3 linked regions of the Drosophila melanogaster genome follow. The gene in region 2 interacts genetically with the main gene of each other region. Each region holds a gene or a part of one and is shown on either strand. Other genes may lie near its edges. The genes, in order: gcm, crol and stg.

Evidence for each region.
Region 1: of crol (region 2) and gcm, changing one suppresses a phenotype caused by changing the other (phenotypic suppression), as found in Drosophila melanogaster (one study listed by BioGRID).
Region 3: of crol (region 2) and stg, changing one suppresses a phenotype caused by changing the other (phenotypic suppression), as found in Drosophila melanogaster (one study listed by BioGRID).

The regions. Positions count from the first base shown.
Region 1 is NT_033779.5:9,578,998-9,583,662, forward strand, and holds gcm (glial cells missing), read right to left. Parts: upstream 2,749-4,665; 5' UTR 2,596-2,748; coding exon 2,198-2,595; intron 2,123-2,197; coding exon 1,006-2,122; 3' UTR 568-1,005; coding exon of another isoform or gene 514-567; 3' UTR 501-513; downstream 1-500. Other genes in the region: CG31709 (uncharacterized protein), read right to left, coding at 1-34, 96-450, 514-567. UniProt on the Drosophila melanogaster protein: Transcription factor that induces gliogenesis. It determines the choice between glial and neuronal fates. Also has a role in the differentiation of the plasmatocyte/macrophage lineage of hemocytes.
Region 2 is NT_033779.5:11,806,413-11,811,538, forward strand, and holds the start of crol (crooked legs), read right to left. Parts: upstream 3,027-5,126; 5' UTR 2,714-3,026; intron 2,561-2,713; exon of another isoform or gene 1,602-2,560; intron 1-1,601. Other genes in the region: CycY (cyclin Y), read right to left, coding at 4,705-5,087.
Region 3 is NT_033777.3:29,251,546-29,257,432, forward strand, and holds stg (string), read right to left. Parts: upstream 4,256-5,887; 5' UTR 3,384-4,255; coding exon 3,328-3,383; intron 2,417-3,327; coding exon 1,033-2,416; 3' UTR 598-1,032; downstream 1-597. Other genes in the region: CG45544 (uncharacterized protein), read left to right, coding at 5,119-5,352. UniProt on the Drosophila melanogaster protein: This protein functions as a dosage-dependent inducer in mitotic control. It is a tyrosine protein phosphatase required for progression of the cell cycle. It may directly dephosphorylate Cdk1 and activate the Cdk1 activity.

The sequences.
Region 1 (4,665 bases), 2.2 Mb from region 2:
TGCTGATTTCCACTTGGCTCTAAGCTTAAATAATCTAATAAGAGAGTATTAATTATGCACTTCATTGTATTAGCAATAAGTACAGCTCAACTTACACCGCCCATTGGTATATCGCACCATTACTGACAATGCATTTGGTTCCCTGTTCCCTGTAGTAAGTCCATTTAAAGCTTCCAACGCTCTATCTGTGGTTATAATGTCGGCGTGTCCCCAAAGTGGATTATTTCGTTGTAGCCGTGATCCTGGGCTGATTGGATTCTGTCCATGATGCCTTACTGAGCGCATTGCATTATCACTTGGTGTACGGACTCTGAATTGCATTCTCCTTCTACGATTGCGTCGCCGCGATTTTACCCTAAGGTCTGGAGTTTCCCGATTCGTAATTCCAAGTGCCTGTCCAATCAAATGACGGCGCAAAAATAGCAAGTTAACTAGAGCTCTACGGCGACGCTTCTCAATACAAAATTTGGTTTTATTCATTGTTATTTGTTTAGGCCTTTATTTAGTACTCACAATTGCCATAGTTCGGTTATTTGCACTACATTTTCTAGGGCGACAAGCACCCATTGTTACACGATTTTGGTTGACTAACGAATTTAAACTTGTTGTTGAGGAAAATCCCTAGTTGTATATCCTGCCGCTGGTAATGTTATACTGACAATGATTACGAGCTCCCTTGCTTGACACGTGTCAATTCTCAAAAAAAGGCTGCTTCGATTAAGTTTTTCTTTCAAAAATGTTTATTACTACAAAAAAGTTCATAAATAGGTGGGAAATGTGACTTAAAACTCTATGTGCTTAAGAATACTATTACTCTTACGTGCTCTAAAACTTTGGAATAGCTGGGAAACAAGTACAAAAGTACAAACTAGAAACGTTCAATATATAATAATACACGACCAACAAGCAATGGGAACATGAATGGAAATCAATCAACTAGGGACTAGAACAACGCTTGAGTGGCTCAGTAATAGTAGTTGCGATGAGAGATCTTATCCCGATCCCCTAGCAATAGATGGGATCCGTGCTGTTGACTGGGTGATATGTCGCGTCCATTTGAATGTTCCACGAGTTGTCCACTCCCGTATTGCTGTAGTAGTAGTCGGCGGACTGCATCTGATCCTGCGGCTCCTGTTGATAATTGGTGAGATGCGGAAAAGTTCCCTGTTGCTGATGTTGCTGATAGGCGGTTGCTTCGTCGTAGATGAGATCCACGCCACTGGTCCCTCCGCCATTCAGAGTTGACTCAAACACACTGAAGATCTCCGAGCTGGTTGTGTAGAAACTTGCATCCTGGCTAAGATTCTGGCTTTGGCTTCCATTGCTCACGTCCAGCGAGTTGGGTAGATATCCATTGTAGTAGCCATAATCCTCGGAACAGTAGCCCGAGCTGCTGGTCAAACTGGACGTATCGTCGCATATTTCATACGAAGGCATTCCGCACTGAAGGCTGGAGGAGATTGGCTGGCTGGGATCATAGCTGACTGGTACATGTTGCTGCGGTGAGAGTTGCTGCTGGTATTGTGAGTGCTGCAGTTGCTGCGGTTTGTTCTCCTGGTAATAACTGCCCGTGGAGCTATGCGCTGAGAGAGGTGAGTGGAGCATATCGTAGGAGTACATTCCATTGGCATAGCATGGATCCTCCGTTTCGTAGTGAATCTCTCTATTCCACTGACTGATCACTGATCCTTGTCCTGCTGGGACATATGAACCCTGAGATTGATTAAAGTTGGTGCTATGTGTGGGCGTCGATGTGGGCAGGTAGGTGGTGGGTGGCACCACTAACTCCTGCTTGGTTTCGAGCACATCGGAAGCACCCATCCTTCTGCGCTTGCTCTCCTGGATGGACTGAGTCTTGGCCTGCCGTTTTGTGGGTCTCAGGCTACTCAGCTTGTCGCTCAGCGCCGATTCCCTGGCCAACATTACGGCCAAACTTCGCACACGTCTTCCTCCTGCCAAAAGTCGCCTGGCTTCCGTGGATCCCTTGGCTTCGGGTCTGGGGTGATCGTGGGTGCCCTTGGCCTGGAAATAGATTCCATTTCCGTCCCTGCGCCAGAAGTGGGTCACTGGATAGCCGCAGTGGCCGCGGCAAGCCTGGATTTCCAAGCGACCATTGCAATTTCTGTCAAGAAAAAAAAATAAAAATACCGAGTTAGTTTTGACAATTCTTGGATTTTGTGTTTAGTCAAAAACCCACCTATTGGGACACTGTTTGCCCTGCTGCTTCCTTCTGGCCTTGTCGCAAATGGCGGGTCTCAGATGCACACTGGCTCCATTGGGCAACTTGCACTTGGCACTGCAGAGGAGCACTCCCAGGCAGCTCTTCTTTAGGATATTCACGTTGTGGTTGTTGGTGTTTCGCATGGCCCAACCGCTGGCATGTTTCCTGGCCTCATCACTCTGCACGGAGTAGATGAGCCGGCAATGTCCGTTGGACCAGTCATTGAAATCGTCAAACTCCCCCACCGACGGCATCTTGGAATCGTTGATGTCCCAGTCGATCGCCACCCGGGACTTGGTGGCCGGAGGACTGGGCACAGGCATGGGCACTGGCATCGGTACTGGCATTGTTATAGGCATGCCGTTCAAAACCATTTTTGATGTGTCTATGTAATCGTTAGTTTCAAGTTCACACGCGGTCACTATAGTTTTCCTTCTCAATAGTCTATTACTACTGTGTACTTCTTCTCAACTTTTCTCTGGAGCGACGCGTCCGTTCGCATCGACTGCGCAAGGCTGACTAACTGGGCCCGCTCTGCGCAGCACAGTTAAGTTGCCAGCGGTCGAATCGCACGAGGGTTGCTCGGTCGCAAAGCGGTACGCCCATTGGTCCATGCTGACTTCCAGTTCGGGTGCGCTTGTGTGCGGCTTATCCGCCTTATCCGGCACTCCAGTTTGGGAAATTAGGAGAGTTCCCGAGCAGGTTTGATTGGTAGTAGTGGTAGCAGCAGCTGGAGATGGAGAATTCGTTCTATAGGGAACTGGGAGCTGGGAGAGCTTGAGCACAGGGAGCTGGGAGCTGGGAACTGGCAACTGGGCAGGGAGACGAGTGCTGTGCTGCTCTAGCACCTGCGGTTGCAGCACGCGCTCCACTGGGTAATTGTACGATATGAGAACCAGGGGTTTGAGGCACTCGATGGCAAAGAACACGGCCCCAACCCCAGTCAAAGCTAATTAAGTTCAGAAAAAAAGTTTACAACATCAGTAATGGAAATGGAGATGGGGATGGGGCTGTGTGTGGATGGGGATGTGCTGTATGGCATGGGTTCTGATGGGTACACCTGGCGACAGTCACTGGCAGATGCCAGTGGTCGGGCCTATTTACTTTCGAACTGGATGTGGATGTCGAAATGGGGAGCAAAGTGAAATGGTTGGAGGGCAAGCAGAGTTACGAACAAAATGGAGATGGTTCCAACGAAGCACGGAAAGTAATTTAGTTCAAGGCTTTAAGACTTTTTTAATGCGGACATTAAAGCTGCTAAATCTACTTAACTTCAGAGGTAGAAATTATTCTGTAAAAAAATTTCAAAATCAAACGTAAATTTTAATGGAAATGACTCACAGAAATATAGAAATATTACCACTATATATAGTCACTATTATAGAATTTGGTAAGGCAACGGTATAGCTAACGGAACTACTTCTCACGATCTCAAAATCGATAAAGAAATAAACGTTTGCAAAAAAAGAAACCGAAATGTCGAGCTCCTGCCGATATCTTCAAGATGAAATCAGGGATCTCATAATCGTAAAACACAATTTAGCACGCAAAAAAACGGAAATCAAAAAGAAGAAATCCCATATTGGAAAACCTCCCCTACAAACCCAAAGGCAAATGCCATAACTCACGCATATGAATGAAGCAAAGTTTGCCAAACAAATTCCTTGGGCCCCTTGGCGATCTCAAGTCAGAGATAAACGAAACAAACATAATCATTAAGATGACGAAAGGGTGAGGAAACTCCATAATTTTCACACTTCCACGACAGACCAAATGCCATGCAATTATGACACGAACTGAGCGAGCAACCCGCGGCGCCTTTCTGCCAAGGAGTCGCCCAAAGATCAGGATCGTAGCACGCGATAGGAACTCAAAGGATTACGGCGGACAATGGGAAAGGGTGCTCCGACCGGGACTCGAGGGGCGTTGACACAGAAGAAAGTCATGACGTGGCATATTATGAGGCTGTGCTGGGGAAGCACATCCTACCTGGTCCCAGATTCCCGCACTCAAGGTGGGTGTGTCGCCTTAATGATGCCCGGAATTAACTGTTCCGTTTCAATTACGAGACATCACTTGGCAATCAAATTTATTTGACACTTTCTCTGCGGGGGCCAGTGGAGAACAGAACTCTTTTCTTTCCCAATGAAACTCAGTCCAATTGCGGCTATAAAATTCGACCAAAAATTACGCATAAATGTCATCGTAAATTCGGCATCTACCCTATCCGTCGGCGGTGTCGTGGGAAGTTACGCCCCTGGCATATAGATAGTCTGTTCTGGTCGGAAGGGATTTGGCCAGGGATTATAACGATTGCCAAACATATGGCCATGGATATTCACAATATGTGAGTGAGTGCTCAAAAGATTTGTTGACCGAGTGTAGGATAATGTGTTCGTTAAATGCCAAGACTTTATGACTACTCAATAATGAAAAAGATTACA
Region 2 (5,126 bases):
TATGTACATCCATATGTATGCAAAAGTCACCAACACAACGAAACTAAGGCTGCGTCTGCGTGGAAAGAAGAGCAAAAATATTCTAACTCTAATTGGAAAGGGAATGGGAATTGGAATTGCCTTCGGGGGGGCATTGCAAATTTTACATTTCCAACTATTCCAATTCGAAACGAGCAGTGCTGTGCGGTGCGGTTTCGGTGCTAACAAATCAAATTAATTGTATCTATATCTAGAAGAGCTGTATGTGCGTGCATCTCCTCGACCAGTCAGTCTTCTCTGCTTTTCTTCTAGATTCTAGACGGGGGGCCTCTCCTCGTTCTCTCCCTCTCACCATTCTGGTTTGCTTTTGGCTGCCAGCAGGGAAAAAAAGTTGTGTCTTTCTTGCCATGCCGCCTCCTCTTTGTTCCCTTCTTACCCACTGCTTTTCGTGCACTTTTGTACACGGTTTTGCTTTTTTTATTTTGTTATTCTCGTCTCGCCTCTCTCTCGCTCCTGCCTCTCTCCCTCTCTTTGCCTTACATTGTCTCTCATTATTCATTGAACGACAACGGCAACGTCACCCCCTATCCCCTGGCCCAGCAGCAACAACGTTTTGCACGAACGACGCTACGTACAATTCCCAGCCGCCTAAAGCGGAAAACCAATAAAAACGAATTGAATCGCAAAGCGTAAGTACAAAATAAAGCGAGGAGGCGAGACAGAAAAAAATGAAAGCTGAGAGAGTAGCTAACGAGCGAGCGTGAAAGAGAGACAGAGAGAGAGAGAGAGAGAGAGAGACAAGCGAGTACAGGCGGCGCGTCGATACAAGTTTTGCCTTTTGGCTCACATTCTATATGCCGAGATCCGAAACTCGAGTTATAGTTATAATTATTGCCGCTGCTGCCGCTTTTTATTTTTAAGTTTGTTTGGCTGTCGCTCAAATTTCGACCGAGAGAGCGGCGAATCGAATGGGAAAAAGAGTGAGAGAGAGGAGAAGGAGGATCAAGTTGGAGAAACGTCCGTCACATTTTCATTACAGCCAATTAGTGTGCATTTCATAATTGTTAAACAAAACACAGGCACACATCTGAGCACAATTGGAAAAGCTAAAGGAATTGGAATCGGGAGCTGGGTTCTAACATATGGCGGCGAAAAAAGTGCCAATACGGAAAGCGCCACCGATCGCTTAAAGTGCTATAGTTAATAAATTTTAGAAAAATGCAACCCTGCGTCTGCCCTCTCTCGCTCTAAAACTTGCAAGAATGACACGATGATGACGTTAATGGAAACTCTGTAGCTGTGGATGTGCGCGCAGCTCATACACAAGCACACACAGATACTCTCGCACTCGCACACAAAAACACTCACACACCAATACACTGACAGCGAAGTCGACCGCAAAGTCATTTGATTAATAATTCTCGCATTCTTTTTGGCCTGCGAATTTCACAAATAAACTCAATTGTTTCCAATCAGCCCCGGTACTTGTCCCTCTCCCCATCCCATCATATCCGACCCACCCCCTCTAGCAGCTTCTCCCCTCGTACAAAACACTGCATTTTTTACAAGCTTTAAAAAGGTTGTTCGGTTCGTTCTTATGACGCCAGTATATGAAAATTTACTTGATATTGCAACGGTGGTGGTGGCGGGCACACTCTCCGGCGAATGTGTGTGTGTGTGTGCAACAGTAGTGGCAATCAGAATCGAAACGCCGCGCGGGTGAGAGGCGGTGGTGAACGGCGAACAGAGCAAAGCAAACTGAAAACTGAATGAGACGCGGAGGCAGCAGAAGGCGAGCAGGCAAAGGCGACCGATGTAAAAGTTCTTCGTGCGGCGCGTTCGGGCGGCAGCCGAAAGCACAAAAGTCCAGTGGGAGAGCCAGTGCAGGCGGTTTGGCTTTGACGAGGGATCAATTGATTCGACTCTTATATTTAAAAGTTATTTATTGAACTTCCTAAGTGTGGCATAATAACAAGGCTATCTGATTATCTTATTGAAAATTTGACAGTCAAATATCAAATATAAGTTTTTTTTAATAATATGGCAAAGGCATAACAAATATCAGGTAATGAGTTGATTAGCTTAGAGCTGTAAAAAGCCCAATAATCCCAATCCAATGCTAAAAAAAGTTAACATTTACATAAGCCAGTGAGAAAAATAACTTTAATAACAAGGCGGTTTATCTGATCGGAATACATGAAAATTTAAAACACTTATTAAAATAATTCAATTTAATCTTTATAACCTTATATTCAAATGGAAAAAGTCAAAAAAGCATTTATAAATTACTGATTAAAGTATCCCTTTCAACAAATTTTTATATTAGATGAAAACTTAAACTACTTTTAGCATTCAGAGTAGATAACTAGCCAAGCAGCACCTGCACTTACTCCAATTACAAAAACTGGCTAGAGAGAATCCAAGTGGCCAGCACTGGCAAGAGGTGTGGAGGCAGCGAGAGAGCGAGAGCGACTACGAGAGACACCGCAAGATACAGATACAATGCGTGCTCGAGCCCGCATGTGTGTGTGTGCGTGCGATTGCGTTGTTCTTATTAACGATTTGCTGCCGCTGTCTCCGCCGCTCCCTCCACCAACCCCCTCCCGTTGTTGTGCTGCTTTTTCGGGGCTTGGGCACAAAAAGGCGGCAAAACGGTTAAGCACACAAATTCGGCCGGGTCCAATTGGCCAATTTGAATACGAATGCAAGAGTCGCCAATTCGAATTGCACTCACCAGCGATATAGTTACGTTTTATCCATAGACCAGCGAGCTACCACTCCTTTTTCTGCCTGCAGCAGCGTCCCTTTTCAACAGACGCCGTTCCCGGATTGCTCAATGGCGATCTTGGTTTCGTGGCCCGATCTTGCACATCACTCTCCACTGGTCACTAACTGCATTGCGCGCACTGTACACTTGCGGTTGGCCATTTAATTAGAGCGGTGCCTTTATTTTCTTAACATTTAACGCGGATCCAGAGTTTTAGTTGCGGGCGGAAGAGCGAGAGAAGCAGTGTATAGAGCTGGAAGAAGTATCGATATGACATCGATAGTTCTCCAGAGCTGGCAGTGTGACCGGGCTGCTTTATTTTCAATGTAATTTTGAAATATACCAAATACACAAAAATACCAAATTAGGGATGGCACTGCGTCGATAGCTTTGAAAATTAAGTTTTTCGTAAAGTATTTTATAAATAATAAAAATAATTAGCAGCGTAAATTTAATAAGTTATAAAGTGTAATTGGAATTATAAGATTTTCTGAAAGTATAAACTTAAATAGTAGGATCTTGACTATTTCTAAAGAGTTTTTTTTTTGCATTTGCAAGTGGAGTATTTATAATGTTGAAAATCAATGTGTTTAGGTGATTATCAATACTTTTCCACATAATCTTGTTCGAGATTTTTGAATCCATATTTTGTGGGAGGGAAAGAAAATAAGTGGATTATACAATACATTTTATACGATTTTCGAAAGAAATCCTATGATCGATCTTCTTATTTAGAATAAGATATGTTTCTAAAATGTTTTTATACATAGAATAGCCAGAAGTCCTTTCTATATAAAAAAAAAAAAATGTTTCAAAAACTTTCTGTTTCATATGGCCATGTTTTTGACTTCGAATAAGCGCGCTTTCGTTTTCAAAACCCACGTTTTCGAAAAAAAAGTGACAAAAACTAAGTTATAGAAAGTCTATTTCTTTGATTTGCTTTTATTTAGCTTTATCGTAAAATAAATTACAAAATAAAATACATTTTGCATATAATTCGTATCCTTATATGTCTAGTACATTAATTTACTCACAAATCTTTTGGGTTAATATTGCGCTGTGCTCCTTGCAACTCTCGCTCGGATTTTGTTTGTTTTTCTAATGCTAAGAACCAAAAAAAAACAAATCAACTTGCCGCAGGCCGCGCCCCCAGAAAATCGATTTGTGCCTGAAGCCTGACGCGGGGAAGCCGAATATCGTTCATCGTATATAAAGCTAAATGGAAACTATATAAGAATCACACGAAATCATATTGAGTTATTAAGAAAACATGGATGTAAGGTAAACAAATTAAATTCGTAACAAATGTACAGGGAAATGTTTTTCTTTTCTTTTTTTGGGCGCGGACGCGCTAAGTAAATGACAATTTGGTGGCCGTGGCCAACCGTTGAGATTAAATTGCTTAGATGCCAGCTGGATTAGGTGGCCAAGTCAATTACAATATTATTTAAGCCGTTTTGTACAAACAATTCTCTACTGTTCGGTTTAGGTTTCTGTATCTCTTTCTGCTTCTGTGATCTTTCGTTTGGCAATTGGTTACGCGTTGCTGTAGTAGTACTTCTGTGTCTCTGTTTAAAATCATCATCCAAATCCATGACTGCATCGGTAGTTTCGCTTACATACATCGATCGCATGTACGTATATGTAAAAAGTGGTCCTTAATTCGAGACGTGTGGTTAAAACGCTTTTCTTCGTGTATGTATATATTGTATATAAGACTGTGATTCTTTCTGCACGTATTTGGGTGTTCCTTTTAGAGTCTGTGTGCTGGCTAAAAAGCCACCCGCAAAAGCTTATGCAACCGGGTGGCCTACGAAATGTATCTGAATCTGTGTGCAAAATCTGATTCAGCGCAGAGCTACGGTTCTCAAATGACGTTCGATCGGACTACGGACTACAGAGTACGGATCTCATTGCTGCTGTTGGTTGGTTGTTCGGTTTTAGTAAGCTAATATAAATCACGATAGTATGGCCACGCTGCGTCGCGGCCCGCCCTGACTGATGTTGTCCATGGAGGACCACTTCTTGATCCCATTCTTCAGTGCCTCGGCAGTGACCTTGTCCTGCATCACACGCGACATGGCCTCCAGCTTCTGGGCCCGCTCCTTGGACAGCGGCTCCGTGGGGAAGTTGAGCTCGTTGGCCTCGGCGAGCGTGCGCAGGTCGAAGTAGTATTTGGCGTACACCGAGGACGGTACATTGATGTTGAACTGCAGCAGCTCGAGGAACTGGCGCTCCAGCTCGTTCATGTCCTCCACGGTGATGTCTTTGAGTATTTGGCAGTAATCTACATTCCAAACGGCCTGGTCATCCCACACCTTTGAGGCGAGGAGAATGGCACCTGCAGAACATCAATAGTAGAAATTAGTAAGCTATACCA
Region 3 (5,887 bases), on a different chromosome or scaffold from region 2:
GGGTTTAAAAAAAAAAGCATCACGTGTCCATCTCTAATTTAAAGAAATATAAAGTGACATACAAATTTTCGTATAACAGTCTGCCAAAAAGTCGCCGCTGTTATACTCAATTTTTTACGGACACAGCGCCCTCTGACATTTACAAAGTGCAACTACTCGCTTTGCGCGCCAATTTCAAGTTGTTAATTCTGTGAAAACCCATAGAGTACCGAAATCCCGCACATAATGCGCATTTGGCGCCATTTGAATGATAAAAATTCCAGGAATTTCAGTTCTTTTTCGTCGTGTATTAATGTATATTTAAAATTGATGGTCTTTGTTCAATAATATTGCCTTTTTTGATGCAAAAATAAGCTTTGCTTAAATAATAATCATTACATGGTAAAATATTTGTTTTCTTGTTTGCATTTGCGTTTCGGTGCCTTGTTGTTCGGTTACGGATTACATAAAAATAAACAAATAATAAGCGTAAATTGTACCTAGCAGAAGTTTACAACTTTCAACTCTTAAACGATAGATCTTATAAATAAAGTTTTATGGATGAAATTAATGAGCGTGTTTGTTTTTGTGTGATATTTGTTTTCTTTTTTTTTTTTTGTTTTTAGCCATTTTTTGTTCTGCTTATCATCTACAAATGATTAAGGGGTCTGATTTCGGGATCGGCCTCTTAAATTTAAATGACATGGTTCCTCACGTTTTTAGATTATAATGCACATTTTTCGTTTGCTTGTTCGTTGGTTATCTTTAAAATTTGAACTAGAGTGCTTAAATAATTGAACTAAAGCCGAAACCATAAAAACAATAATAACTAAACAAAAGCGTTAAATTCCAAATGAAATTGTCTGTTTTGCATGAATGCGAGTGTCGGGTGTGTGTCTGCGTCGTGTGCGAGAAACTTAGTCTACGGATTAACAAATGAAAATCAACAAAAATCAACTTAAAAGCAGCATGAAATAAATACCCCTATACGTCTATATATACAATACGATAACACCCAAACTTAGATAACGAACTGCACGATCATCCCACAACCTACAGCATCAGTCGCGAGCGCGACTTCTTTAGCCGCCCGGTGGCACCGCCCAGGCCATCGCCGTTCCAGGACTTGGACTTGGCGCGAAAGTGGCGATAGGCCTCGTTGTAGGCGGGATCCAGCATGGTGCGGTAGGCATGTGGTTCGCACAGCTCAACGTGCGACTCGAAGAACTCCTTGTAGCCGTTGTGCAGCAGATAGATCTCGGGATAGTGCAACGCCGGATAGGCGTTGGTATTCCTCTCGCGATCCAGATTACGCAGGAAGCGGGACATTTTCGGTCCACGCTCCGAGGAGAATTCGCAGTGGAAGATAATGATGTTGCGCTTGTGTCCCGATTCGGCGTTCTGCTGCTGCTGCAGCTCAGTCTGTTGGACGGTGAGGAACTCATCGAGGATCTGCTCGGTGGTGTACAGGTTCTTGGCTCCCTCGATGTGGCCGCCCTCGAATTCGTAGGGGTAGCGGCAGTCGATGATGCGGTAGCTGGCCACCTTATCGCTGAACTCGCCCTTAAGCAGGCGAGCCACTGTTTCGCTGGAGATGCTCTTCAGATCCCGATGACGACCCTCCATCAGGGGCAGGGCATAGGCTTTGCTGAAGTCGCCGATTAGCTCGGGCTCGTTGCGGTTCTCGGAGCGGGCCAGGGCGGACATGATCTCGGCGTCGTTCAGGGACATGCACTTCCTCAGTGGAGGGGGGTGGCTAATCGTGACCTGGCTGAGTGGGCTGGGTGCGGGGCAGTTCTCCTTCTCAACGGCGGCGCAGCGATGGCGTTTGCTCTGGATGGGCGAGCAGTTGGCCGATGCTGGCGGTTCCGGGCGCTTGAAGCAATCCCGGGCAGTCTCTGGGGTCTTTGGTGGTGGGGTGGTGGTGCTGTTGGTGTTGCTCTCCGTCATGCTGAGGCACCTTCTGACCGAAGGGCGGCGCATGGACAGACCCGCTGGCGATTTGGCAGCAGGCTGCTCCTTGATCTGGCCGCTGATCAGCGAGTTTAGGCCACTGGGGAAGCCCAGGGCGGTCTGTTGGCTCTGCGACTCCATCTCGAAGAGCTCCATGTACTCATCGTCCATGGAGGACTCCATGGAGCATGTGGAGGACAGGCTGTTGAAGATGCGGAAGCTGCGCGCCGGCGTGTGATCACTTGATACTCCCATAGCTGGCAGAATTTTCGGCTGGCGGACGATCTGGAAGCGCTGGGGCGAGCCCTCCGGCGAGAGCAGACCCATCAGCTCCGGACTGGCCGATCGCTGCTGATCCTGGGGCACAACGTCGTCGTCGTAGAACGACAGCTCCTCCTGGTCCATGCTCATCAGTTCCAGGGAACGGCGAGCACGACGAGATCCACTCATTTTGTTGATGCTACTCGAACTGCTGGTGTTATTACTGCAAGAGCAAACAAAGAGAGGGGGAGGATTAGTCAACTGTTCGGCATCGAGGAAGAGAGCTGCTTTTGCTTCCCTAAACTCTCGCAAGAGCGGGTCATTAAACCCAGCTAAAAATACTGACAAACTGGTGGTGGTGGTGGCGTTGGTGGTGTAAAAACAACAAAAATACCCGAGAAAATACAGAGAGGGGTTGTTGTAATTGGGTGAAGAGGGAGCTGAACTAGAAATTTACTTTAATGCAGCTTCGAAAACTGGAATTTTTGGGATTCGACTTGCGCACACGATATCATTGATACCATTTTTTTTTTTTTTGATAATTTTTACAATTCCCTAAAATTGCGAGGGAACCGTTGCGTACCGCCTTATCTTCTTCTTCTTGATTCTACTTAAGCATTAGCGGTTCTCCAAATGGAATTCCCTTTTGCTTTTCGCATGCATCTGCTTTTCAGCTTGACTTTTGCTTTTGGGTCACACGTCACGCAAGCGCAGCGATAATACAACAAAAACACGCCACAAAGAACCGCAAAGAACACGGAGGAAAAAAGGAACAAAAATCGAAAAAAAAAAAATGACTGACTGACGGACGACGGACAAAAAGCATTTTTTGCTGCTGCTTTTTTTTGGAGCCTCGCGGAAGCCGGTTTAATGAATGAAAAACGGCAAGCGAGCAACAAAACAACAGCTGAGCGCCAAAATAAAAATCGGGCAAAAAGCAAACGTGCCGAGCGTGATAAAAAGAACTCTTACTTTTGTTGGCCCCATCGTTTACATTTCTGTTTTTTGTATTTTTTTTTTGCTTTGCTGTTGTTGCTGTTGCTCTTGAACTTGCACTTTTTATCGCGTATTTTCAACTGGTATTCCTGGTGCAAAAGGGGTTTGCTGTTGCTAATCCTTGGGCGGCATAATTACCTGATATTGCAATCCATGCTGCAGTTGTTTTCCTCCACAATAGTTTCCCACAGCATTTTGTTGGTTTTGTTGTGTTATGTGTTGCGTTGGTTGCTTCGAAGAGCCGAAGATGTTTGATTTCGCTGGCGAGTCTGAAGCCGAAGAAATTGCTAAAACACAATTTGTTCTTGGTCACTCTGCACTCATTTACAGTTTGTTTTTAGAATTTGAGATGGTAGTCCTTGGTTTTTGGCTAGTATTGCATTTTAGTTAATTTAGGTTTTTTTGTTTTTTTTTTTTGTTAATGTGTCCGTTTGAGCATGATTTTTTGTTTTGTATTTCGGAGTGTGGTTGTGCGAGGTTTTTCTTTTTCTTCAATAATTTGAACCGCACAATCTCAATTCACCGAACGAGGAACCGAAAGGCTGAACAAGAAGAGCTGTTGACTCGACGACGAACTGAGAACGAATGTGCTGAATATGCCGAGCAGCTGGTTTTTATAACCGCACCCCGGCCGATCACGATCAGCTGATGAGCTAATGGGCGCGAGCGAGATGGCGCGCGTTTTTTGTTCTCTCTGCTTCGCTCTTTAGCTCTTAGTTCTCAGCTCCTTTCCTTTGCCTTCCCATCCTATCCTTTCCTTCCTATCCTTCCCAGAAGTGCCAATAGAAGAGGAAGGGAGACGGGCAACGAGCGACACCAACACACATAACGGGGACGGGGCCAGAGCCATGTGCGATGCGAAAAGGAAAACTGGGAAAATGGGAGAATCAGGATCATATGGACTCAGTTTTGGAAATCTCTGCTCATGTGGAGCACAAGAGTGCCGGCAACAGGTAGAATCCTTTCCCCTGCACTTCCCCTATCGCAAAATCCCGCACCGAATACCAATGTCCCGAGAAACGAGGAGAATCTGGCGCCTTGGTGGTCGCCAGCTCTATGGAGGCCACTGATTTTGGCGCGCGAGCTTTTATACCGCGACGCGTACCGCCGAAGGGGATCCGAAGTCGCCACAATTGGAGCCGAAGTGGAGCCGAGGAGGCTCCGAACCGAACACATGTGAAAATAGTGTGGAGCCCCAAGAAGCGAAGAGGAAACGCTGAAGAACTGCGCGAATCTTTAAGCAGAATTTCAAGGCGGCATCGATTGTGTCGTTTGCAGGTAATAATGTGAGATCCACGCATTCCTGCTGCCCCCTGTCCCCCCTTGTAACCCCTCCCTGAAAACTACATATCAGCAGGTAGTGGCCGCAGTCATATGATCGCCGCACCGGCGGGATGGGCGGTCGTGGAGGGGGCGTGGCTCCTTTGTGTTCTGCAGACGTAGACGCCAATGTCGTTAAATGAGCAAAGCTTCCAGCCACAGAGATCCATTCACAGGTAGCACTCTACACGATGGACCGTGTGTCTTTAATGAGAATCCGTACAAACACAGATCTTAAGCTAGATAAACTACTACTAACAGTAGCAAACACGTGGAAAATCATGATGTCAACCATGCGATATGACCAATAATCGATAATGTGAAGCTCAGACTAGTTGCCCACGCCGAAGCTCCACTGTAGCCCCTCGTTTGTGTGCAATCGCGGCAAAGTTAAAGCAAAAATCGAGTTACATATGCGCCGATGCCCTGCGGGAGTCATTCTGGAGGATCCGAGGGGTTCACTAAGGAGGGTTGGGGGTTTGCGAACACCCATGGGCTGTGCTGTGCAGTTCGAGTGTGTTTTTGTAAGGTTCGCGGCAAACAAATGAAGGACAGGCCAGTGCAACCAGGCCATATCATTCACACCGCTTGAAGAGCAGGCGAAAGTAAATGATTTCGGGACCAACCACAGCCGAAGCCACCAACCAAATGAGCTACGGTTTCATTCCGCTGAATTCCTTTGGCCAGCTTTTGTTGTTGCTGCAGGAAGAGCCGAGAGGATCATCTTTATGGAAAACAACCAGCACAAAACGACGAGAAGGACGCAGAAATCATAAAGTGGTTTTGAACAAGTTAAAAAAGCGCATAGGGAAGGAAAAAGCTCAGAACCAATCTCATTCATAGCGATCCGAGCGCACAGTGTGGCAAAATACATATACTAGAGGTAAATCTGTGAACTTACTACTACTATTTAAAAGTAGTTTCTAGCTCGAGTTGTTCTGCTATTTTCATTTTTACTTACCAAATTCTTATCCAGTTTTTATGCTTTTATTCATTCCAATTATAGCCTCGCAATTATGGATTTCAGATAATACCACCGTGATATCGCCGGGCTCCAGAAAAAGGGCAAAGCGGAGGAAGCGGAATCAAAAGCGTATGCAAAAGCACACTCACACACGTGTGTGTGCGTGTGTGAGTGGGTAAATTTGATAAAGAATGAGAATAGGCTGCGGAGAAAGAAATTGCAGCAACAATGTGAATGGAAATGGGAATGGGGCACAACAATAGCGGGGGACCTCAAAAACAGCATAACGAACAAAAAAAATCACAGGACCAGCAAAAAGTGAAGAGCTAAATTGTAAATCGAAATTCCAAGAAGTGAGCTTTGAGCATCGGCTCTTATTTTATTTTTTTCTCGGTCGTCTGTGCATTAAAATGC